4 linked regions of the Caenorhabditis elegans genome follow. The protein of the gene in region 1 purifies or fractionates together with the protein of each later gene. This does not show direct contact. Each region holds a gene or a part of one and is shown in the gene's direction. Other genes may lie near its edges. The genes, in order: eva-1, unc-40, madd-4 and slt-1.

Region 1 (7,905 bases):
GCAATGAACCACACCAGATGTGTTATAAACATGGAAGGTTATTCAACGATTAGTGACGATTAGCATACATGGTATGCTCATATTGATCAGGGGTGGACGGCAAATCGGCAATGTGCCGAAAAAATTGAAAACTTCTTGCAAATTGCCAATTTGCCGAATTTGCCGAAACTTTTCGGCAAATTGTGGTTTTCTACATTTTTTTTCGGAAATTCCAGAACTTCAATTTCAATGGGAAAAATTGTACGCATCCTATGAATGTCCCTACGCCTTTTTTGAAAAGTAAGCGAATTCTATGAAAATATCTAAAGAAAACGGAAAAAATTTCAAAAAGGTACAGTTTTAAGTGTTTCCCAATTATAAAAAAATCCCTCTAAACATTTCCGGCAAACGGCATTTTGCCGGAATTGAAAATTTCCGGCAAATTGGCAATCCGGCAATTTGCTGATTTGCAGAACGGCAATTGCCGCCCACCCCTGATATGGATGTTTATGCAGATTTTTTAAAATACATGCGTTTGTTTTTGGTTTTCAAAAAAAATTATATTTTAAGAATAACATCTGATATTGACAAGAGCACACTTGTCATTCACATTCCCTTCTTTTATTTTATTTTACATTTAAACTTCTATTCTCATCGCCGTTTCCCGTCTCCTTTGCAGCCAACACTTGTGAGCTCAGAGACTAAAATGCACGGCGGCGGTGCGTTTCTTTTTCATTCATAAAGCCGTTTTCTCCTGAATCGTCGGCATGTGTCTGAAAATCCGATTACCACTTTTTGAATAGAAAATGGAATGGGTGAGGGGGAAGGGAAAAGGGAATCGAACAACAAAGAGCGCAACGGATTACCTTCACGAATGCTTACTATATGATTTTGGATTTCCTATGGTTTTAAGGAACAAGGACTAATAACCAATTTTATTCAACCATTATGGCAGAATGGTATTTTCATTATAAAAAGTCCAAAATATTTGAAATTCTGAATTTAATTTCCATGTATCTTATTAACAGTTATTTAATACTCTTTTACACTAGCTAAAATATATTCTGGTCAATACATAGATTATGCCTCACTTTCCTCACTATTCTCAAGTACTTACTCTCATTTGCATACTAATTGACTATTGTCATGATGTTCATCTCTGTACTACATATTTCAAAGGATGAGTACACCACTAAAGGGCGAAAAAGGTTAGCTCATCCCCATGCTCCGCCTGGGGCGATTAGGCTTTTGTTGTACTGCTGGGCACCGAAAGCAACTTGGTTTTTCAGTTTCTCACGCTGAAGTCTAATAATTTGCGGGACTATGGGCAGGTGTACATGAAATTAGGGAGAACAATAGAGGAGTTTTGTAATTGATGAATTTGTAATTATTATTAGAAAAGAAATTGGTGAGTAGGATAATTTGACATTTTCCCCCAAAAAATAAGTATATTGGTTTTATATCTAACTTTGTACAAAATGTGTATTAAACATTTTTCATGTGTGCGACAAATTTCCAAACTTGCCGAGCTCGGCAACTTCGGCATATTTGCCACACACCCCTTATTCTTATCCTTGCCTAGTAACCAACTTTTTGCTGATCTTCTCCGAAATGTGCATTCCATTCGATTTTATTGTGTACAACAGCAATAGGGTGTGTACTACACTCACAACAATTTGTCCCCTCCTCCCAGTTGCCTCTCCCCCAAATATCTTCCCAACACCTGCAACATCAAGGCGGTGCTCCGGGAGGAGAGTAGTCAACTGATCTCCTTTTCTCCATTTTTTGTTGTTGACAACCGTTTTTGACACCTTCAAATATGATTATCGTTCTCTCAGTTCAGTTTCGGCAACGAGGCGTGGCTTGGGAAACCCCACCCCCTTTTTGCATGTCCCTCTGCTTCTTCAGAGTGTCCCGTTTTCTTTTCGTCAAGGCTGACAGCTAACCTATGTGATTTTTGTTCTCATATTGTTATTGTCATACTTTTATTTAACTTTTCCAAGGAGTTAAAAATAATTTTACAGCTTCCCATGTGAATTGTCATGAATATGCATATAGTTTCCCCGGTTTTGCTCTTATTTTGGTTTGGAATTATCGTAACTGATGGTAAATTGAAAAGCGGATTTATTGGTGGATCACATCATCATGAAGTTAATCCAATCGAAGGTTTGTTTTTTTTTTTTTCTACTTGAAACTTATACTTTCCCAGCCTTCTTCCTTTTGAAAGGCGTTTTTTGAAGTAGAAACCTATCGCTAAACGAACACATTCATCACTCATCAAGATGATGATCTATTCGCGCCGTCATTTTTATTGCGTAGCTATTATTATACCTCGCATGATGAGTTGAAATTTGTAGGTCAGAAATTTCCTAACTTCTAGTATTGAATTCATCTTCTTAAAGGTATTGTCTAAATACACTTATAATGATTAAAATTTTGAAAAATATGAGCTTTTGAGGAAATCCAATGTGTCGCATGTTTCCACCCCTACAACTTTTTGATACAAATAATTAAAACAAAATCAAAGTATAAAAAATGCAGGAAAAAAAAATTATTCTGGTCCACTTCCAAAATTATGAGTGGAAATAACAGTAATTGTCACTTTTTGACAGTAAATAAAATATGTTCAAATAAATATTGGAAAGTTTTATTATGATCTTCGGTTATTTTGGTACCATTGTAGTAGTTTTTTAACACTTTCCACACTGTTGCTACTCCACCTTTAATAACAAGGGGCTTGAATAAGAGTAATTCAAGTACAATGAAATAGAGTTCGTCGAAAATTCGAAACCTCCATTTCCTTTCCGAAGATCTCCATTAGCAACAATTCCTTTTCCGCCCTTGCGTTCTACTGCTCTAGCTCCAAGAGAGGCCCCCCGTAATTCCATAATTGTATAAAGTGAGTGTGTGTCCCCCTTCACCCGTTTATCCCTTACCCGGGGGGTCTGTTGCCTTCCTCTTTTCCGGATGCATAGCAGCAGAAGGCGTAATAAGCATAGTTAAGTGCACAATGTTATAAACAAATGTCTCTTTTCTATATCTAGTGGGTCATGACATGAACATGATGATGATGAAGAGGAGTATCCACTCAGCTTCCTCTAAACAAAATGGACATCATCTTCGAGAATTATTGAGAATTTCAAAGTTGGGATGTTGCAATCGAATTTTACTACCACCTTGTAAAAATAATAAACATTTCGAAATCCTCCCGTAAAAAAGTGCTCATTCAGCTTCCGAGCCCCCCACAACATGCGTGTCGAGTGTGTAAAAAGAGAAAAGCTCGCCCGCTGCTCTCAGAGCAACATTATCACCACACGGAGAGGGTTTTTACGTGGTCATGCTGAGAACCCAGGGAGCTAATGGCTATGTATCAATTGACAGCTTCCGCGAGAGCAGAGAGCTCAGCGGTAAACGAGAAATAGAAAAAAAAAACAAATGAAACTAAATGTCAAATCATGAACGTTATTACGAAAAGAAAATGTTTAACTATAGCTTGAGATTTTATTGAACGTAATTTTGGCAAATTCCTTATTTTGTTCTGATTGGCAGCAGCAGATCCGTAGAAATACATAAACATTTTGGCAATTCCAATCCATTCCAATACTTGAAATACGAGCCCATTTCCATTTGCCACCGGAACATGCCTCCTCGGTTGCTCTCTTTGCGTGAGAGCACACCTGCCTTTTGAAGCAGCATAACTTTAGCTTGTGCTGAATTTACGTGGGAAAATGCGGAGGGACACCGCAAAAGTTACTTGCTAAACTTACTAAGCCTTAGAAATAACCCAACAAACTCTAAATGCCAATAATTTATTCTAAAAATTTATTTTAATGTAGTCGATTTTGCGCAAAAAGATATATATCATAGCAAATGAAAGATGCACATATTTAATAAGTCATGTACTACGGCATTCGACAAGAAAATTTATATATATATATATTCCAAAACAAAAGTTTATCTGAAAATTTGCAACCCCACAAAACCGATAATTTTCAGCAGCTCTACTTGTTCGGGCTCGCCTGGGTAGGTTTCGCATGCCGCTGTTTTTTCCAGTTCACTAAGCACAGCGCATAATTGGAACTGATGCTTTCTTATTTCTTAAGAAGCCAGATTGGATATTGCCTGTTCTCCTCTCTGTTAATTGCTAGGTGTCGTTTTTTAAAGAGAAATCAAGGAAAAAGAGGAATCAGCAAGCCGCCAGCTGCTGTTGTTCAAGATATTACTAATTGCTAGTTGAATTGAAAAAGGATAAGGTGGAATGATTTGCTTGGAAATTAAAAGTGAAGCTTTGCTTATTGTCGATAAACATTATTATTTGCTCACAAGATGTATCTTCGAAGATTCGAAACTGTGCTAGCTGTTTAGGGCAAAACTTGAAAGTGCTGAAATAATTTAATATGGTAACTTTGTTCAAACTAATAGCAATTCATAGTTCAACAAGGAGTCATGGTCAGTTTATTCCATTTTTCGCAAAACTTTCACACACACTTATGCCCAAAGTATCGGACGTTTTTCAAAAACTTTATGGGGGTCCATTTTATGACCTCTCTTTTCTTTCGCACGCTGACACCGACTAATTCACTCCGTTTACTCAGTCACTCTCAGTTTTAGTACCTGGTGACCTTCACACCAGCGAGTGTGATCGAGAGGGACCGAAACGAAAACGAACCGCTTTTTTCTAAAAAATTTTTGCGGAGGAATTTAAAATCAAAAATACAATCATTTTTGCAGGAATCCTCAGAGAGTCACTTCGATCCAATAGAGTTCAAGCTTGCGATGGAGAACGAATCACGTTAAGCTGCCCAAGAAATACACAGATTTCTGTACAAACCGGGTTTGTAAAATTATCAATCTATCCTAGATTCATTCAACAAGTTTTCAGGTTTTATGGCCGCGTGGTCCCAGAAAACCAATTATGCCCTCCACAGGCTGGAAGAAAGCATTCCGAAGCTAATCTAGATCCATTATCAATGATCCATCACTCAAGTACTTGTGATGTGATACAAGCTCATACGGTAAATCAATGCCAAACACTCGTCAATTGAAATCATAAGTTTCAGAGAATATCGGAACTTTGCGATAAGCGCCGAAAATGTACAGTTGTCGTAGATTCAAACACATTTGAAGATGATCCGTGCCCAACAACTTCAAAATATCTTCAGATGGCATATGGTTGCATTCCAATGTCTTTCGATGAGGAAACATTTTGTACTCCAAAGCCCACTGATCCACCTCGTCCAGAGATTCGTTTAGAGTGTAGGGAAGGTAGACGGTTGGCTGTGTATTCCGCACAAATGAAGACATCGCCTCAATGTGATCCCGAAACCGAAATTAGACATGGTAAGTTGAAAAGTTTTTAAAGATATTTTGTCAAACAGAACCACAAAGACCAATTAAACAAATTATGCTTTCTGATAAAATGCAGAGCTTGAGGTGCTTCACCTTTTCTCTATTTCCTCTTTTCTGATACTTTCACTGTTTCGCAATTGTTCTCATTCTTCCCATTGTGAGTTGATGACACACATCCAATTAGCCTCATCTTCTTCTTCTATCCATTCCATTGAGCCTCCCGATGAGCTAAAAGTAAGATAGTACTGGTTAGCAAGAGACGTAGCCAGAAAACACTCTGACAATTGTCTTCTGAAGATCCGGGGCTTTGGGTTCAAAATGAAATGGGATGGTGGTGGAGGAGGAACACACGAGAAGGGTGAATACTAAAGTAGGATTTCCGTTTGGTACGAATTGACGGAAAATGGGAAAGATGTCAAGACTCTCATTGTATCGAATTTTTTGAAAAACTATAGTGTGGAAGGAAAAATAGAATTATCGTTTACTATTTAATCAAAAAAATTTCAGAATGCGTCTCAGACGTCTTACCTCAAGTACTTCGTCAATGCCACGCCAAGGAAGGGTGCACACTAAAAAGTGATGGCATAAAAGGTCATTGCAGACATGGGCATCTTCATGTCGTTTATGTTTGTGGTAATAAAACAGATCAAGTTTAAGGATAATGTAGAATATTTTCAGTTAACGAGGAGATATTCTCAGAGGAGGCCATCAAAGGCGAGCTGACCTCATTGGAAACTTATTTGAAGGTCCGTCCGGTTAATTAACATTTTCGATTAAAATTTAACAGCATACGCTTCAGTAATAGTATTTCCTCTATCATTAAATCATACAATACTTTTTTTAAAAAAGATGGCGCAACTCTGTTAGATGGGCAAAACTAACAGAAGTGCCATATTAATAGAGGGCACGCTGTTTTTGAAAACTGTTTCTCAAAATAATTTTCAGGAAGCCGACGCAATGCAAAAACAGGATGACGAACGATTTTTCAAGGATGTCAATGATAAGACACAGTGGGAAAGAGTGGTGGATAGTGAGCCGGCTAAGGATCCCGATGTACATCAAATTGCTAACGATGGTATCGCTTTTTTTCACTAAACTGATATTATATAACTTTCAATTTGTAGCTTCCTATGTAACCCATGACGAGTATCGAATGGAAAAGCAAGATCCTCCTCCAATAACGGAAAGAGTGGAACCAAACCTAGTGGGTGTTGGGCACGATCTTCTTCAAGTTGTTCAGTTCTTTAAAGGTATGAGTTTCAAATAATTCTCAGAAAATCATCCTAGATTTCAGAAAACAAAGAGAAGGCGGTCATGTGTATTGTGTTAGCCGTGAGTATGGCTGCAATTGTTGTGCTCTCCGCGTGTATCATCACTCGACTGTGTTCCTCAAACAAGGATAGTTCGAGGAGCTCAAGGAGAAGCAGAAGTAGAAGGTCACTGGAGACTAGCAAATTGGTGTCAAGTAATTGTAAGTACTTTACAACCTTTACATATATTGCAATTTCGCTATACCTCTAGATGGTGGCTCAATCACTCCACAGCACATGATGCAAGACATTGAAGACGAGCAGTTCCTCCGATTTTCGATGGGTTCCGCAGCAACATCCAATCCACATTATAGTCACTATGATTTTTAAATCTAATTCCTCTCACATCCATAACTCTTGTCTTACTTCTACGGGTTCATCTAGTCACTTCTAATTGTTGGAAATCATTGCTTTCGATATAAAAATTGTTTCAGTAAAACATTTTAAAGTCACAAATAATGATTCAGTTGATAGACACATTTTAGCAAATTCAGGGCGAATTTACACGTCAACTGAGAATAATAAAACACTTCATTTTAACATGGTGCATCGCAAGGCAGTATCTTGCTTAAAATATCTGGCATTGCCGACGAGGATATATTCGAATCAATTAAAGACGATGCAATCCATTGCTGATAGTTGCTACTCTACCTTCAACATTGACTTTTATCCAAATATGCTTTACAGTTGTTCGGTATTGTATAGACATTGCATAGAAAATAAAACAATTTATAGACCCATTCAGAGCCAGAACAGAATGTAATGCCGCGTCAAGATTCATAGGTAGGAAGCTGAAACAAAAAACCATGTAGTTTTTCGGTAGACATAGTCTTAACACTCACAAAAATCCCAGATCAGGGTAGATGAATGAGAAAACTGTTGCGGTGCCAGTTGGCAGTGAAGCTATGAATATCAAAAGAGTCACAATGATAACTAGAACCGTCGTTCTTTCCGAGCTGAAACTTTCTTTTAGAGAACATACAGGATGAATCAGAAAAACTCGACTTGTTTCTTGTGGAAACACGTGATGATATTCGATTTCTCTCAGTTTTTCGCAGTTCAATAGCAAGCAACGTGGTGAGCAGGGGTAAAACGATACAGGGAGCTATCTGTAATTCGGAACTTATGTATAATAAATACTAATCTTAAAAACAATGTAACTTTTTCTTACCTTGACTAGAACCCCGTTAATAACTTGATACATTCTTCTAGGCAATTCATTTCCATGTGCAAAGAAATCCAACACTCTATGTTCATAATATGGATA
Region 2 (5,632 bases), 9.1 Mb from region 1:
TAATTTAATTATCATAATTTTAAGTTTGTTATAATTTCTGAAAATTTCCCAATGAAACGTTTAAAAATAAATACTAGACTGTGATAATCTCGTGTCTAATTTTAGAAAATTTGACCAGAAAAACTTTTTCATAATTCTTGTATCATTTTTTTTCAAGTGTTTAAAATCCAGGTTACCTCTGCAGTCGCAAAGTTTCCGTTCAATGATTTCATTGAATCAGAAGATCCAGTGTCTCCATTTTTCGACGATGTTCTTTTCCTAGTTAAATCCGTCCAATAAGGAGCACGTCGAGCGGACATTCCCATAGTCTTTGATATGAGCTGTATACGAGATGGAATTGCGTCTCCAGCTTTTTTCAATGGAGGTGGTGGTGTGCCAGTTGCTGAACCATTTGGAACCTTGCTCTCGCTAAACGATCCCCATTTTTCTGGTCGAGCAATGCCAGCTCGAAGCATTGACATTCTCTGAACTTCTTTCGCGGGTGTATTTGCACCTTCAAGCTTTTTGAAAATTTCTTGAGTTCTTGTACTTAATGACCCGTTGGTAGTTGCTCCACTTCGTCGGCTCAAAAGTGAGAAATTTGTGATAGATGAAGCAGGAGAATGATTAGCAGTTAACTCTCCACACCAAGTCATATCCATTTTCCTCTCATTATTCATTGAACTATTAAGAGTTGGTTCCAGTAATGATCTGTTCAGGAATCGACTTCGTTTCACACTCTCACTTCGAAACGATTGTGGTAGAATCTGCTTGTCGAGCTCTGTCAGTTGACGTTTGCGATTCTGGAAAAAAATATTTCGATAGCATTTATCAACAGGTTTAATCTAATTTTTCTGTGAAAACACATTAATAAAAAGACAACTTTAAAAATTTACCGTGGAAACCGCAGGAGTGCTGAAGAAAATATCTGGAACAGCGTCCACATCGATCTCTAAGCCATTGGATGCACTCGTACGCCGATCCAATGCAGTCGGACTGAGGTATCGAAGACGTGATCCGATGCGATGGTTTTGTGAGGTATTCACTGAAGTTTCATCTGGAATTTAAAAAATAATGAGTTGAAATTCTAGTGCCATGTACTGATATGAAAGTCAATGTGATTAAACTTACCTGAAGCTATTTTAGCTTCATTATCTACGGATAATATATTTTTCAATGCTGGAGACGCAGAAGGAGACGATTTTGAAGACGAATTGGATGTACCTTCATCATTCGACTTATCGCCGTCTTTGCTTTTAGTGGCACTAGCTCCAACAGAAAAGAAGCGGCCAACCGATGAGAAAAACCCTCCGGATTTATCGGACATTTCTGAAATAGAAAAAAGTTGTTTCGTAATTGAGACTAAAGCTGAGAGAGACTGAAGAAATTTTTCTGCGCCGTGTCAGAAATTCTCGATAAAATAAAATTCTTCAAAAACGACACTTTTCGAAATACTTTTGAAACGCCTAAATGAACTACTGGAAGTACCAAAAGAACATGACAAATGCACCTAATATGTTTTGGTAAAAATTCCGAATTATTGATCGATAACACAGGTCAAAACTACAGAAATCATTCAAAATCGTAAATGTTTAAATTTAGGCCGCGCCAGTAAACGCAGCATTAAGCATTAAACTTGATATATTTTTAAGGCAAAAAACCTTTTACCAACATTGAATTTTCGAAGGAAAGAAGTGTAAATTACATTAAAAATCAATAAAGGAATTTAAAATCGCAAATGGCGCGAAGACGATTAAAAAGAAATTTTCGAGTGCGCACACGCGACGCATACGCGACGCTTTCAACGACATTTGAGAGGTTAGAGTGCAGACAGTTATCCTTCCATTAACAACATGAAGAGGGTGCAGAGAAACGAGAGAGTGTCCATTCCACAAGGCCACACCCCTTCAGCTGGACACTTCTGGAGCTCTTTTGACGACGTTCGACCCTGTTTTTGACTCTTTTTCCGTTAAATATATTTATTTTCTATTCAAAATTATTTTTAACGACCTCTTTTCCATCTTTTTTTCTGTGTTCAAAAAATGTGTTCAAAAAATCCAAAGGTAAATAAAAACATTATTTATTTCAGACCCTCTGCATCACCAATAGAATGCGATAATTCGACAGAAGTTATTTAATTCATTCAGTAGAAATGATTTTGCGACATTTCGGTGAGTTCCATCTTTTTATCTTATCAATTTTAATAATTTCTCCGTGGAAAAGTTTTAAATATTGTTGTTATCACTTTTGTGTTGATACAAATAAAATTAAAATCCTATAATTTCGTAGTAAACGAAGTATCTAAACCCGAACCTCTGAAAGAAAACAAAAGGAAATTAAATAAAACTTCATTACTATTTATAATTTTCAGGTTTCATTCTTATAATTCTGACAGTTTATCTGTCATCTACTCATGCCACAACACGGAAACATCATCGTCGATCGATTGATAATGGTGAGAGTTTTTCACATTTGAATTCAAAAATATATTAAAATGGGGGAAGGAAGATGACCATCTGGCATTCTGTCAAGGTGTCAGTCACCGGCAACATAATTTATCGATTCAAGAATGGAATTTTGAAAATAGAAAAATATAAATAAAAATCATCTTAAAGTCAATACTTGGCACTGAACTACCTTGTGGCTATTTTTAAAAAAAATTGACTCCATAAAAATAATACAAATCCAAGAAAAGTTACGTTTTTTTTAATACTCTTACCTATAAAACACTTAGTTTATCGTCGAATTAATGGTTTTACTTTGAAAAAACCTTCTTTCAAAATTATTCTCAATTTTCGAGTTCCGATCTAGCAGAGTTGTTCAGCAATCTTTTAGTTCCTTCACACCTTAAAGATGGAGCAGCGATTTTTTTGTCCCCAGAAGAGAGACATCTTGAACGTTTTCTAAATTATGGCGGTTTAGGGAAAAATTAAAATTTTAGTTAATTTTGACTCCGCTTTTGAGAAGCCTCATTCCGTCACTCGGGGCCTTATTTCACTACCCCACGGTGGGTACCACCTTTAAAGAAAACTTGACGCCAAATTGTAGCATTTTTCACTACAAACCAAAAGTGGATAGCTCAATTCCCCAGATTCTCTAGGCGTTTGATGTTCGAAAGATTGTAATCTCTACACAAAATCCACCAGATTCGTTCATTTCATTATTGTGTGTGTGGGTCCCAATGGTTCCACATGAAGTCTTCTCTCTCTCTTTTCTTCTTACTCTTGGAATGAATTGTGACACAAACACACACACACAAAACGAAATGCCATCATCTTCTTTAGCTTCCACCACACAAATCTTTCTCTTCCATCCCCTTTCGATTTCAATTGATGGATGAGGCAATATGAGGGACACGGGTCTTCAGTTGATGGTGTTCCCTTGATTGCATAATGCTCCGGGAATACATTCATTCATCATTTAAATGATGATGATTTCTTATTGATGAGTAGCAAAGTTCTGTTTCTAAACATTTACGAAAATGTGAACTAATTGGCTCCAATTTTTGAGCGGCGGAAGAGAAAGAAGGACGCTTTGGGTTTATTGTTATTTCGGAATGGTCAAGGTTGAAGACTGAGAAAGCTACAAAATAATAAATCAGTTGTGAAAATATGTTTTAATTCTGGAAAAAAATAAGGATAATTTAGTTTAACTAGTAAGGTACAGAAAAATATCAACAAAAAAATTAGACGCGATAAGTGGCATTTTACAGTATTCCCCAATTGATAAGGACTTTTTCGGTTTTTAACTGCATTTTTTTCCGTGAATTCATAAAATAAAGGTTCTACGATGCCGCATGTATCACAAAAGAATTTATCGAGCATGTGAGAACGTATGGAATAATGACTGAGGAAGAAAAATGAATGGTTATTATTATAATAGTATACGTTTCGTAAACCTTTCTCGGAATATAAATGGTCATAAGATTCTCGATAAAAAAAACAATACGAATGACTTTCTGAAGGAAATCCTTTATAAAACCTTATTTTCAGATGCTCGGAATCTTGGCTTTCAATTCGTAATGGAACCACGACGGAATGTGACTGTTATGGAATCATCGTCTCATTTATTAGAATGTAGTTATGTTCTGGCTCATGAGAGACTTGTACACGATGTCCGAATTGAATGGAAACGTGATGGTGTGTTGCTCAGTGAACGGACATCTTCTAGAATGTGAGTTTTTTTACAACTATTTGTTCGGTTTAAAATTTTTTCGATTTAAATTGATGTTCAGTGTCAATACACTTATAATAGTTTTTAAAAAAAATTAGATTTTTCAATATTCACCGTCATTCGTTTGGCAAATTTTGCAAAAATGTGGACTTTTAGGTAATTGTTATAGGCGAACTCCTAGAATTTTTACATACGAAAAATTGAAACATAATTAAAATATGAAACTAGTAGAGAAAAAACATTTTTTTGATCGACTTCCAAAATTATGATTTCAAAAAACATGTCAAAATATTTTGAAATTTTTGTTACGATATTTGGACATTTTGAGTATAAAATCAGTTTTAAACAATATCCCTACTGCACTTTTAACCTCGGTAGAAAAAGCTCACACTTTTAAATTGGGTTGAAGCTGACTTTTTCGTTAAAAAAAAGATATCAATTGTGCTATCTTGTAATCTTTAACCTTCTTTCCAAGTATATGGTTGTTTGAACACTCTTAACTTATTTCACCAATAAAATCGGATGCTCACATTCTTCACAAGGACTCCTTTGTGGATTCTCGTCAAAGTTTCGAAAATATGCAAATGACATTGAGACATATAACTCATTTAGATGGTGTATCTCCGTTCTATCGGAATGTGTGTATATACACTTGTTTCTTCTCCTTCTTCTATTCCTAATCCCTTCAAGAGCATGCAAGCGAGTGGAAGTAGTGACTTTTACATGTGTCTTTCTATGCACATATAAAATTTCGTCCTGGCTTATTCATGCATATGTGCATAGGAAGGACACTTTTGACCGAGAGGATTGGAGTCTATTGTTGAGAAGCTTTTGTTGTGCAAGAAATTGTTTTTCTGCATATTTCATAACTTGTAGTTGTTTTAGTTTCCAATGGCCACTGAAATGTTATGAAATTTGCCGGAAATAGACCGAAAGTTATTAAGCTTAAAACCGAAAGTACAATCAGAACAGAATCAACACATTGGAATCAAAAAAGTTCACACAATTAACTATATGTTCCAATTTTTCAATTTCCTTGCTTTGAAATTACCACTTTAAGATTCTGTTAATATTAAAGTTGTTGGTTTAAGCTTACAAAGTATCTATATATTGTGTAACCAGATACTATTTTCGCCTTCACAACATTCAACAGAAGTAGACCACCCGCCAAAGACGTATCCGCGACAATTTCCTGCCATTTGTCATGTATCTCCTCCTACTATAATGCCATGTCACCATTATTATTCTGGCATTAGAGCTAGGTAATATTAGGTCAACAATTGTTTTCCTGAAGCTGTCTTTGCCGGGCCTGTAGTCGTTCTTCTGTTGTCATGGTCATTAATCAGAGGCGACTGTGGGTGATTCGATCGAAATTGAGAAACGATGGGTGGATGTCGTCAAGACGATTGATTGACAGGCTCAAGGTTCTGTTGAAGACTATGCAAATGGCATTGAACAATTTTTGCAGTTTTAATTTCAT
Region 3 (5,451 bases), 5.9 Mb from region 1:
TTGCATTTTTTAAACAAAGCTCCCTTCTTTGTTTTGTAGGAGGGAGGAGCTGTAACCCGATTTAGAAGAAAAAGTCAGCGCCCCTACAAACAGGAAGACCTTAACTAGGTTCCCTCTGTTTGGCAGTATTTCAACAAAATTTTTTCAAAATTTTTCAGCTTCTATATTTTAATAAACAAATTTTTCATAACTTTTTTAAATGAAGTTTACTTACTGTAATTTTCATATCAGACTCGCACTATCTGTCAAAATCCGCCAAAGTTAGTTTACTAACTTCCAAATTTAGAACCATTTTTGGGGCACAATGTTGTTCAAAAGTTGTTTGTTTCCCGTTTCCTTGTTTTTTAAAATTTATCCAGATATGTTTATGAAATTTAAAGTATTTTATGATCCAGGTCGATTTTAGACAATTTTCTAATCGACGTCGACGTATGCCGAAGCTGGGGGTACCTGCGTCGATTAGCCTGACTTCGGCGTCGATCAGAATAGATTTACCAGAGTTTAGTGAGAAATGTGTTTATGTTTTCATAAAAACCCAAAATTCAGACGTCAGAATTCAAAAACCTTCCCCTTCAAATTTTAAAAGAAAATGAGTTGTAGTCGCAGAATATGTTACCTGAAAAGAAGTAGGGGTGACTCTATTGTCTTTATTTCTTTTTTCTTTTTACAATTTTTCATTCTCACTTTTTTTTTACTTTTCAAGTTTGTTCAATAGTCTTCTGCAAAAATATTTCAGTTATAATAGTTGTGTTTTCCAAAAAATTAGTTCAATTCTTTTTTTTTGCAGTTCTTCTTTGTTTTTCCAGTCATGTCCTCATTCCATAAATCCCATTGGTCGTCGATTTCCCATTTTGAATTGCCCCTAGTTTTCCGATTTACTGCATTTTTCAAAAAAAAAGAAAAAAAAACGTTTACTATTGAATACCTATGCCTGGTTGAAAGAATGGGTTTTGTCAGACACTGGTTAACCTTTGCTCAGCTCTTTTTTTGAAGTTTGTAGTTATCGTTTTTGGAGTTTTTATTACAACCTGGTATCATGAATATTTTTTCTCTTCCATTTTCATTTTTCCTTCCCAAGTGTGCTGCCCGAGTCTATTGGAAGTCAGAATACCAACGTGTTCCTTGACACTTTTTGATTTGATTTCCACATTTTTTCCTACATTCTCCTCTTCTTTTGGCTTTTCTTCTCTCCTGAGCAACGAAGTTTAACCATTGCAATATTTGTAACTTTCATATAATAAGTAGTGGAGTTTTTGAATTGATTAAAAAGTTTTTGAATTGATTTGCATCATGGTCTAAACGAATAAAACTTCTCCAAGAGACTCCTCAAAAAGCTTTCAATAACGTAGTTGTTGTTCAAAATTAAAAAAAAATTACAAAACTTGTGTTCCATCGACTAAGATGGTACCTAAATTCCAAAAAAAAAAACGAGTAATAAATTACTAAACTGGAAAATTTGGCATATATTCCAGGTAAATTTAGCCTGTTTCTTTCAGATAATTTTGAGTACATTGAATAAATTTTGTTACTACCTCTATCCCGGCTCGCCATTCGCCTTGTTGCTTCCTATCAAAAACTTTTGTCTAGGAGTTACTCAACACGACTTATCAATGAATTGCTAATTTTAGAAATAATTACTAAAAAATGTTGGAATGGGTTGAGAAACCACATGTTCATAGGAGAGTAAATTTCTACGAATTCAAACTAATTTTGCCAAATATTTATTGTAATTTCTTGCTTTTTTTTGTTGATTGTTGGCCCACTTACTTAGTTTACGTTAATGTTTTTTTTCTCTACAGCTACTCTTTTTAATTAAATTTCTTTTTGTTTTAATCAGAGGTAAAGTGCTATAATTTGGCTCAACCAACTCACAGGTGATTCGCGGGTTTTAAAATACTTATGAAATGTAGTTCGCGCGCTTCTACAAGAGGCACCAGCGATATAGTAAAATACTTGCAAAATCGCAAATATTGTGCAAATTGCGATCACCGAGAGTCGCGATTACCAAAATACTGCTAAAATGTTAATGGTCCCGCGGCGAAATTCGCGATTTGCAAAATGCATCTAAAATATTGGAGGTCATAAGTATTTTACAAACGGCGAATCACCTGTGCTATTGTAAAGTGGAAAACTTCTATAACTATTTCTTCGAACCCTCTAATTTTCCTATCCAAAAAATAGTTGAAGCCCACATAAATCTTTTAATACATTTATCTCTATTTCATTCTTTCTCTTCTAACTGGTAATTTGAAATTCGAATATTTTCTTCAAGTTCCGGCATCTGTATATTTTCTTTTTATAAAACTTCCAAAAAAATATTTGCAGCCAAGGACAATTCAAGCGTTTGTTAATTTTTACACAAAAAAAGGAAAAAAAACAATGAAACAAAGTGTAAAATGAATGAAAATGAAGTGTTCATATACCGTAGTATTTTTACTATTTTACTTGCTTATTGCGAGTTTCCACGTGGATGCTCTTAGTTGGGCGGCATGGAGTCCTTGGAGTTCGTGTACTAAAACGGTAATCGGACAGAGAAGCTATTCAGAAAAAAAAAATTTTCAGTGTGGTGGCGGAGTTTCTCGTCAGTTACGACGTTGTTTGACATCAAAATGCTCAGGAGAATCAGTTCGATTCAAAGTTTGTGCTCAAAAAACTTGCGAGTCAAAATCTAGATTAGCTAGGGATACAATATGTGGAGGAGAGGAAATAGTCTCCAGGGGACAGGTATGTATGAACCACTTTCAAAATAATGTTTTCTTGTGAAGAAACATTTATTTAAAAAAAGTTTTTGTAGTAGTAGTCAAAAAATAATTTGGACAAATGTACCGAATAACCAAAAACGCAAAAACGTTCAGCCCTGCAGCAAGAGTGTTGTTTTTTCGATTTCTCAATTTTTTATGAATGTCGAAAAAAAAATTTCGGATTCTCAAACTATTAATTTTTTAACGGTCTAAATTTCAATAATATCCACATATCATGATACATAACATTCTAACAATTTTGTAAAAGTTGTGGTAAATTTCCAAATTTTCCAAAAATGTGGACTTCCTGAGAAATTTCGAGTTGTACTGCAGGTTTGAATCCCTAGAGTGTTTAAATATAAACAATCTTTAAAAAATGCGGAAAACTGAGTTTTCAAGTGTAGATTTAAAAAAGCCAAATAATTGTTGAAAAGTTTGAATTTTTTTTGAAAAGTTTGTGAATCATACATGAACAGTTTTCAAGCACCTATAAGTGAAAAAATAAGAACTAAAATTCAGTGCGAAGTGGTATGCCGATCACGCTTAACTGGTGCAAATTTTCTTTGGAGAGTTGATGATGGAACGCCGTGTCAGGCCGCAACAAGTAGAGCTGTCTGCAGTAAAGGGTCTTGTCAGGTTACTAAATATAATTGTTTTAATTATTATTTTCCCCAAATTTCAGATCGTTGGCTGTGACGGATTGATTAGTTCATCTTTTCGATTTGATGCCTGTGGAGTATGTGGAGGACGAGGGGATACGTGTGACAATGGAAAGTTCATTTGGAAAGTTTCCGGTAGAATTTTAAAGATTTACAACAATCACTCAAAACACTAAGATTTCCAGAAGAATACACTGCATGCGCTTCAAATTGTGATGATATAGTTGACTGGTCAGGTGCTGGACGTTCAATTGCTTCAACTAGTCAACCAATTGTTGTATGTGTAAATGCAATAACTGGAAGAGTTGTTCCTGAAAAGTTATGTGCTGATAAATTGAGACCGAAAGTTGAAGCAAGACCATGCCCAATGCTGATTTGCCCTTCAAGGTTTGAAATTTTAAATTATTTTATATTTATGCTTAAGTGCATAGTTTCGTAAATAGTTTTAAATTCTAGTTGTTGTCTGTACTTTTTGAAAAGCACAAACCTCTAAAAAACAAAAAACCGAACTCAAATTTCTGTTAACTTTTGTATTTTAATAATTTGAATTGTTTTTGAATATCCAATTTCCTTTTTCAAGAAATATTCTTTATATCGTTTCCTAAATTAGATTTGCTAATTTGATTTTAATTAATAATTTCAGATGCCGGTGAGTTTTTCCAAAAAGATCCCAAATCAGGGTGTGGTAAGCTGAAAGAGTGTGCCCCATAAGAATGACGGGGATTATTGATTTTTTATTTTTTCTCAATTTATTTTTGTTTTCTATATCACATTCACTTCTATTTGAATTTTCTCGATAAATATTTTTATCGTTTAGGAATGGCTAAGTTCAATTTTTAGATAATTTGAGACTGACATCTCTTTGCTTTATTAGACGCTGTGTGTCAATTTGAATATTTATGGATTTTGAAGTAATGAACTGAAAACTTGCAGATGGATGGCTGCAGACTGGACAGAATGTGTACCACATTGTGGTGAAGGGACAAGAAAAAGAGAGGTTTACTGTGTACAGACGGCGCATAATGTTACAGTACATGTTCCTGATACCTTCTGTGAAAATGGAACAAGACCGGTTAGTTGTTAAAAGTTTTAGCCATTGTTTCAGATGTTAAGTAGAGATCTTCTTATTAATGCTTGAGCGGAGCATTCTCAAAATGTTTTCAAAACACCAATTTTAATAATAACACCTCTTGAAATTTTCAGAAACATTTTTATGGCGGTTAAAAAATTTGTTGAAAAATTGTTTTTTTAAGAGGTCTTTTTTTGAATTTCGGCCTATAGGGTCAGTATAAAGAATACGCTACTCCAGATTTGACTTCAAGTATTTTTCCAAAAAATATATTGTTTGGGCGAAAACGTTTAAAAGCCTTGCCACTATAATTGTATATATTGTTTTTCTGTTACAGACGCAAATTTTCCAGATTTCTTAGCGTTATCATCTGCCTTTTTAAAAAACAACTTTCCTAAATTTTTTTGTTTACTTGCATGTTTCAGAAATAATTTAGAAATCTCTCTAAAACTTTCCTGAATGATAACTTTCAGGCAGCCGAAGAAAACTGTGTATCAACATCATGTGGACGATGGGAAGCCGGAAAATGGTCAAAATGTACAGCTTCGTGTGGCCAAGGAGTGCGACGACGTCACGTGGCATGTGTTGGAGGTTCAGATTGTGATGAAGGAGGACGTCCAAGACAAGAGACAACATGTTATGCTGGAATACCATGTAGTATTGCAACAAATAGGTGAGCTCCATTAAGAAGTGGAGAATTGGTAAAGGCACTTTACGCCAAATCATTAGGTAGAATGTGTGAGCGTAAAATGATGAGATTTGCAACAACTTTTTTGAAACTGAAATTGCTGGTTTTTACATTAAAAAAAAATTCAACTTCCAAAAAATGGTATTTTTCATTTAATTCTAGCCTACATAAAAGTTAACAGCTTGCCAAAATTAGTGTACGAAGCAAATTTTACAAGCTCGACAAACTCAACAAGTTTCGTTTGGTACTTGCTAAATGAAAATACTTGCTGTTATATTATTTAAAAATTGTATA
Region 4 (5,365 bases), on another chromosome or scaffold:
TTTTTAAATTTCGGTTAATGAGAAAATCAATTAAAACATAGAAGTAGGTATATGCTTAGATCCCTCCGTATACAATTTCTTAAACAATATTTCGTTCAAAATCTCTATGCAACAAACTGAAAGAAATCTATTACCGTATTTCCTCTATTAGTATTGCATCCGACTACTTAACTTTGAAACGTTATATCTCGGTTGATTTTAAAGATATAAATACATTATAAACTACGAAAGAATAGAAAAAAACAAACAAATATTTTGATAGTTACCAATTTTTGAATTGAACAAACGATAACTGAGATATGAGCTGTAAAAGTTAAACAATGGGTGCAATACTAATAGAGGAAATACGGTATTTGGAAGAATGTGCATAATTCTTGCAAATGTTAATTTGCCCAATTACATATACTGCAACTTGTTTATTTTTCACTTGTTCTGGATGTTTAAAAAAATTAAAATATATTCATTATTCTTATACCTTTGCACAATTTTTTTTCTAACCACAACACTCTGAACTGACAATTTTTCTTTTACAATTTTTTTCTCGCAATAGTAACAAAAGCTCTTTTCAACAAACGTGTAATATGAGACAATTTATATAGGAAAAATGAAGCAGCGCGCCCTTATTTTTTGTTCTCCCAAATGTGTTCTGTTACTTTGATGAGTGGTTGTTGTTTTTCTTAAAATGGCACTACTGAGAAAAAATACCTTAACATTTATTTAGGTAGGAACCGTAAATTTAATATTTCCATTAATTTTTATTAAAAATGAAGAGTAATTCATAATGTTAGGTTAGGTATTTAAAGGTGATGTAGTGCCAGTGGGGAAGTTGTTAAAAACCATTCCTATGGTCCCAAAACGACCAAATATTATAATAAAAATGTTCAAATTGTTTTTTTTTGAATTTTTTTATTTACTGTCATAAAATGACAATAAACAGTTTTTGCCACTCATAATTTTGGAAGTCGACCAAAAAAAAATTTTTTTTCTACATTTTTTATATAATAATTTTGTTTTAATTATTCGCATTAAAACATTGTAGGGATCTGAACATGCGGCATTGCTTTGGATTTCCTCAAAAGTTCATATTTTTGGAGCACGGCCATGCACTACATGTACCTTTCTTTATATGTGGAGTACCGAAATCTGAGACTTTGTTATGGCCGCTCAACGTTTTTGAAAAAAAGTGTCTATTTTCAGCTAAAATCTCAACTTTTATCAACTTTTCGGTGTCACAGCGGCTGGAACTTAATTTTTATTTGTTGATCATTTTTTAGTGTAGGTCTTCGCAATTAATTACCTTAATTATGTCAATTGGGATGGTTTTTCGGTCAATGCGGGCACAAATATGATACAATTTTGTGCCCGCATCGACCGAAAAAGCATCCCAATAAACGAACTAAAAAGTTGCCAAAATTTGAGATTTTAGCTGAAAAATATACCATTTTTTTTCAACACTTTAAGCGGCCATAACTTTCTTTTGAAAAACATTCTGAACATCTCATTACGAAATTTGGTAGTTTCGGAGTCTTTTGGTCTAAAAAAGCAAAGTCTCAAATTTCGGTACTCCACCTTTAAAACAATTTTGAATCCCCCAATATCGCTTGTGTTTCTCTCGCTAATTATCCAAACAACGAGATTAATAAAGTATTAAGACGACTAACCAATGTGTGAACCCTCGCACATTTTCCCTTCCTCATCTACTTTATCATTCCCGATGAATATTAAATAAGTGCACATGGTAATAGTTAGTATACACACCCATCAGTATAGCTATCTCATCCATCCAATTGTTTTGCTCCGAGACACGAGAACAGAATCTCTTTATCATCATTGTGTTCAATGTCACCCGCCTACCCCATTTCATTCTCATTCTCATCCGGCACACACACACACACACACACACAAGTCTACAACTCTTCTTTTATCTGTCATTTGTGTTGGTTTAAGTGGTGTGTGGAAGATGCACGAAAGTGGGACTTGTCTTCTATCCCAATGTCTCATTATCACACTAAAACATTCGCTCTTTCTAGTTTTCTGCTGCTTCTCTTTTTCTACCCTTCCCGGAAAGTTTTCGTGTCCGTACCCACCCCTATCCCAACTCTTTTTTCCCTCACAACCACCGCCATTCCACACATAAATCGTGTCTCCACGAGGTTGTGTTAATGGACCGGCAGGATGGGAGGACAAGACAAACATCTCATAAAACATTAGTGGACCACCCGCCACTTGTCTAAACTTCATTTTGCAGAACTGAACTACTAATTTCATTGTCCCCAAGGATTTGTGGATGTCGGAATGCTGATTTGCTTCATATTTATTCTACTTATACCTGAAAGTGCCACGTGTCCGGCAGAATGCGTGTGCGTGGACCGAACTGTGTCGTGTGTTGGCCAACAACTCACAGAAGTTCCACAAAATATCCCGAATGATACAATTAGATTGTTAGTTTGCCATGGTTGAAAAAATTATAAATGTTGTTTACAGAGATCTACAAGACAATGAAATAACCAAAATCGGACCGAACGATTTCAGCAGTCTTATGAATTTAAAAGCTTTGTAAGTTTCACTTGGTGTCAGAGTGTCCCTTTTTGGTTTGATCTACGTAGGTCTAGTTGGGAGTTGATACGCAGGGTTCTCAACAGATTTCGCATGGTTAAGAACGTTCTGACGTCACTTTTTGTGGGCCAAAATTTCCAGCATTTTTTGTAGATCAAACCGTGATAGGACAGCCTAAAACCACTCGAATTTTAAAGTTGAACCATTTGAACACTTGAGATAATATCCCTAAGATCAGATCTTGTTTGGGAAAACTGAAAAAAACTCAACTAACGTCTAGTATAACATCATGGCTTCAAATTAATTTTTTTGGCGCAATTTCAATAGAGCAATTTTTGCGATATTTTTGTCGGTTCATATTTGCAACAAGAACACAGCCCTTCACTTTGAAGTACAGTAAATAAAACAAAACAACCCGTTTTTTTTCAATTAAATATTAAATTTCAGACAACTTATGGACAATCAAATTGTCACTATTCACAATCAAAGTTTTAGTTCTCTGGTATTTCTTCAAAAGCTGTAAGTTTCGTAGTCTTGAAAACCAATAAACTCTAGTTTTCAGGCGATTAAGCAGAAATCGTATACGCCATTTACCAGATAACGTGTTTCAGAACAATCTGAAACTTACTCACTTGTACGTTTATTCTTCAAAAAAAAATCAAATTAGTTATTATTTTCATTTTCAGAGACTTGAGTGAAAATGACATAACAGTGGTTTCTGACGCACAACTACAAGGTCCTGAATTTTTGGAAGTCTTGAACTTGGATAAAAATCATATCTTCTGGTAAGTTTTTTTCAATCCGGCTATTCTATTTTCCTTTCTCTTCTTTTAGTCTTGAGAACAATGTGATTTCTTCTTGGGTGTCTCTAGAAGTACTTACACTGAATGGAAACCGATTAACAACATTTGAAGAGCCCTCAAATGCAAGATTCCGACAATTGTAAGTTGCTTGTTTTTGTTTTCAAAAAAGAGCATACCATAGAATGTTTAAAGAAGTTTGCTTTTAAGGGACCTTTTCAATAATCCTTGGAATTGCGATTGCCGTTTGAGATGGATGCGAAAATGGCTAGAAAAAGCAGAGGGGCAGAATAAAACAGTTTGTGCAACTCCACTCAACTTGCAAGGGTCCTCGATAGAAATTCTCCAAGACAAGGTAAATTTTAACTTTGAAGGAAAAAAACGTTGTTAAATATTTTCCAAATTTTCAGTTTATGACGTGTTCCGGAAACCGAAAACGTAGATATAAGAAAACCTGCGAAACTGCGGAAATTTGTCCACTACCATGCACGTGCACTGGAACGACTGTAGATTGTCGGGATTCCGGGTTGACATACGTACCAACAAACCTTCCACCGTCTACCACAGAAATGTAAGTTCTTGTAAATTTTTTTCAAATGAATTGAATAGGTTAACTTATACATGAAATAGGGAAATTTTTGGTTTTATTTTGTGAAGCCTCCCGTGATTTTTGTTTTAAAGTGTTGAAAGTATCAGAGATGTGTGACGCTTTTTTTTTTGAAAATTTACAAAATTCATATTGCTCAAAAATTCCAATTTAAAGTACTTTTTCTAAAGAAAATAGCTTTACGTTTAATTAAAAATTTCGAAAAGTTGCTGTTAATCTGGTTAGAAGTTGCAGAATCTCTTAAAGTTTTTGAGCGTCGTTCTTAAAACTTAAAACTACATCAAGACAACGTATTTCTAGGAAGTTAACAATATTATCTATTTAATTGTCTTAGAAAAAAAAACATTGACTCAACAACAAAAAGAGAACCTGTAAACTTTCCAAGAGTGCCAAGAAGTGTCAAAAAATGTTCTGAAAATTTTTCTTTTGTTTCAGAAGACTCGAACAAAATCAGATTTCATCAATTCCCTCTCACTCCTTCAAAAATCTGAAGAACTTGACACGACTGTAAGTTTATTTTCATCTAGCGTCTTCAGTTTTTGCATCTTTCTGATTTCAGAGATCTGAGCAAAAATATAATCACTGAAATCCAACCGAAAGCGTTTCTCGGTCTTCACAATCTGCACACATTGTGAGTTCATTGGTGTCACTTTTGTTCGAACTCATCAAATTGTATTCCAGAGTGCTCTACGGGAATAATATAACCGACTTGAAATCGGATACTTTCGAGGGACTTGGAAGTTTACAATTATTACTCCTCAATGCCAATCAATTGACGTGCATTCGGAGGGGAACATTTGACCATGTCCCGAAGTTGAGCATGTTGTCATTATATGATAACGATATCAAGTCAATCAGTGAAGTAACATTTCAAAATCTTACCAGCTTGAGTACACTGCATCTTGCCAAGAATCCACTGATTTGTGATTGCAATTTGCAATGGCTGGCGCAAATAAATTTACAGAAGAATATTGAAACAAGTGGAGCAAGATGTGAACAACCCAAACGGCTGAGAAAAAAGAAATTTGCAACTTTACCGCCAAATAAGTTCAAATGCAAAGGTGAGATCAAAAGCAGGAGCGTTGCTTCCTGAAAAAGTTAAACAGAATCTGCGCAATTAGATAAGACAAATGAAATAAACCCGTAGAATACCGCTAATCTACACAGTTTGCCACAAAGCTTTGAACAAGGCTTTTATGCAGGCGCGAAAACACCTTCCTTGCCTCCTGTATAACTCTGCGCGAAACCCGAAAACTGTCGGCCGCTTTGAAAGAACCGCCTTTCGCCATATGTGGTGCAAACACCAAGCCTTTGACGTGAGGTTTGCAGGTTGGAGGCAGGCGTCAGGCTCTGAAACCGCTCATGCTTCCTATGAAAGCCCAAAGTTTGACCAAAGTTTCGC

Evidence for each region.
Region 2: the proteins of eva-1 (region 1) and unc-40 purify together in Caenorhabditis elegans (affinity purification with western blotting, with the first as the bait; one study listed by BioGRID). This does not show direct contact.
Region 3: the proteins of eva-1 (region 1) and madd-4 purify together in Caenorhabditis elegans (affinity purification with western blotting, with the first as the bait; one study listed by BioGRID). This does not show direct contact.
Region 4: the proteins of eva-1 (region 1) and slt-1 purify together in Caenorhabditis elegans (affinity purification with western blotting; 2 studies listed by BioGRID, with this or other methods). This does not show direct contact.

The regions. Positions count from the first base shown.
Region 1 is NC_003279.8:14,828,938-14,836,842, reverse strand, and holds eva-1 (SUEL-type lectin domain-containing protein), read left to right. Parts: upstream 1-2,021; coding exon 2,022-2,145; intron 2,146-3,975; coding exon 3,976-4,002; exon of another isoform or gene 4,003-4,710; coding exon 4,711-4,813; intron 4,814-4,861; coding exon 4,862-4,994; intron 4,995-5,039; coding exon 5,040-5,319; intron 5,320-5,454; exon of another isoform or gene 5,455-5,572; intron 5,573-5,835; coding exon 5,836-5,961; intron 5,962-6,006; coding exon 6,007-6,074; intron 6,075-6,273; coding exon 6,274-6,403; intron 6,404-6,452; coding exon 6,453-6,578; intron 6,579-6,622; coding exon 6,623-6,799; intron 6,800-6,849; coding exon 6,850-6,968; downstream 6,969-7,905. UniProt on the Caenorhabditis elegans protein: Acts as a receptor for slt-1. Required for the guidance of the AVM pioneer axon to the ventral nerve cord.
Region 2 is NC_003279.8:5,687,940-5,693,571, reverse strand, and holds the start of unc-40 (Netrin receptor unc-40), read left to right. Parts: upstream 1-2,068; 5' UTR 2,069-2,131; coding exon 2,132-2,150; intron 2,151-2,350; coding exon 2,351-2,434; intron 2,435-3,971; coding exon 3,972-4,152; intron 4,153-5,632. Other genes in the region: npp-7 (RanBP2-type domain-containing protein), read right to left, coding at 177-782, 876-1,036, 1,111-1,306.
Region 3 is NC_003279.8:8,939,160-8,944,610, reverse strand, and holds the start of madd-4 (Protein madd-4), read left to right. Parts: upstream 1-2,323; 5' UTR 2,324-2,406; coding exon 2,407-2,520; intron 2,521-2,562; coding exon 2,563-2,724; intron 2,725-3,260; coding exon 3,261-3,377; intron 3,378-3,423; coding exon 3,424-3,535; intron 3,536-3,585; coding exon 3,586-3,787; intron 3,788-4,043; coding exon 4,044-4,049; intron 4,050-4,333; coding exon 4,334-4,472; intron 4,473-4,942; coding exon 4,943-5,142; intron 5,143-5,451. UniProt on the Caenorhabditis elegans protein: Component of an extracellular matrix cue that is involved in the guidance of dorsoventral midline migrations and in the specification of postsynaptic domains at neuromuscular junctions (NMJs).
Region 4 is NC_003284.9:14,672,080-14,677,444, forward strand, and holds the start of slt-1 (Slit homolog 1 protein), read left to right. Parts: upstream 1-2,248; 5' UTR 2,249-2,295; coding exon 2,296-2,441; intron 2,442-2,484; coding exon 2,485-2,556; intron 2,557-3,003; coding exon 3,004-3,075; intron 3,076-3,118; coding exon 3,119-3,190; intron 3,191-3,242; coding exon 3,243-3,341; intron 3,342-3,390; coding exon 3,391-3,498; intron 3,499-3,566; coding exon 3,567-3,711; intron 3,712-3,766; coding exon 3,767-3,927; intron 3,928-4,398; coding exon 4,399-4,470; intron 4,471-4,522; coding exon 4,523-4,594; intron 4,595-4,644; coding exon 4,645-5,024; intron 5,025-5,365. UniProt on the Caenorhabditis elegans protein: Functions as a ligand for sax-3 receptor during larval development. Acts via the sax-3/Robo receptor to direct ventral axon guidance and guidance at the midline during embryonic development.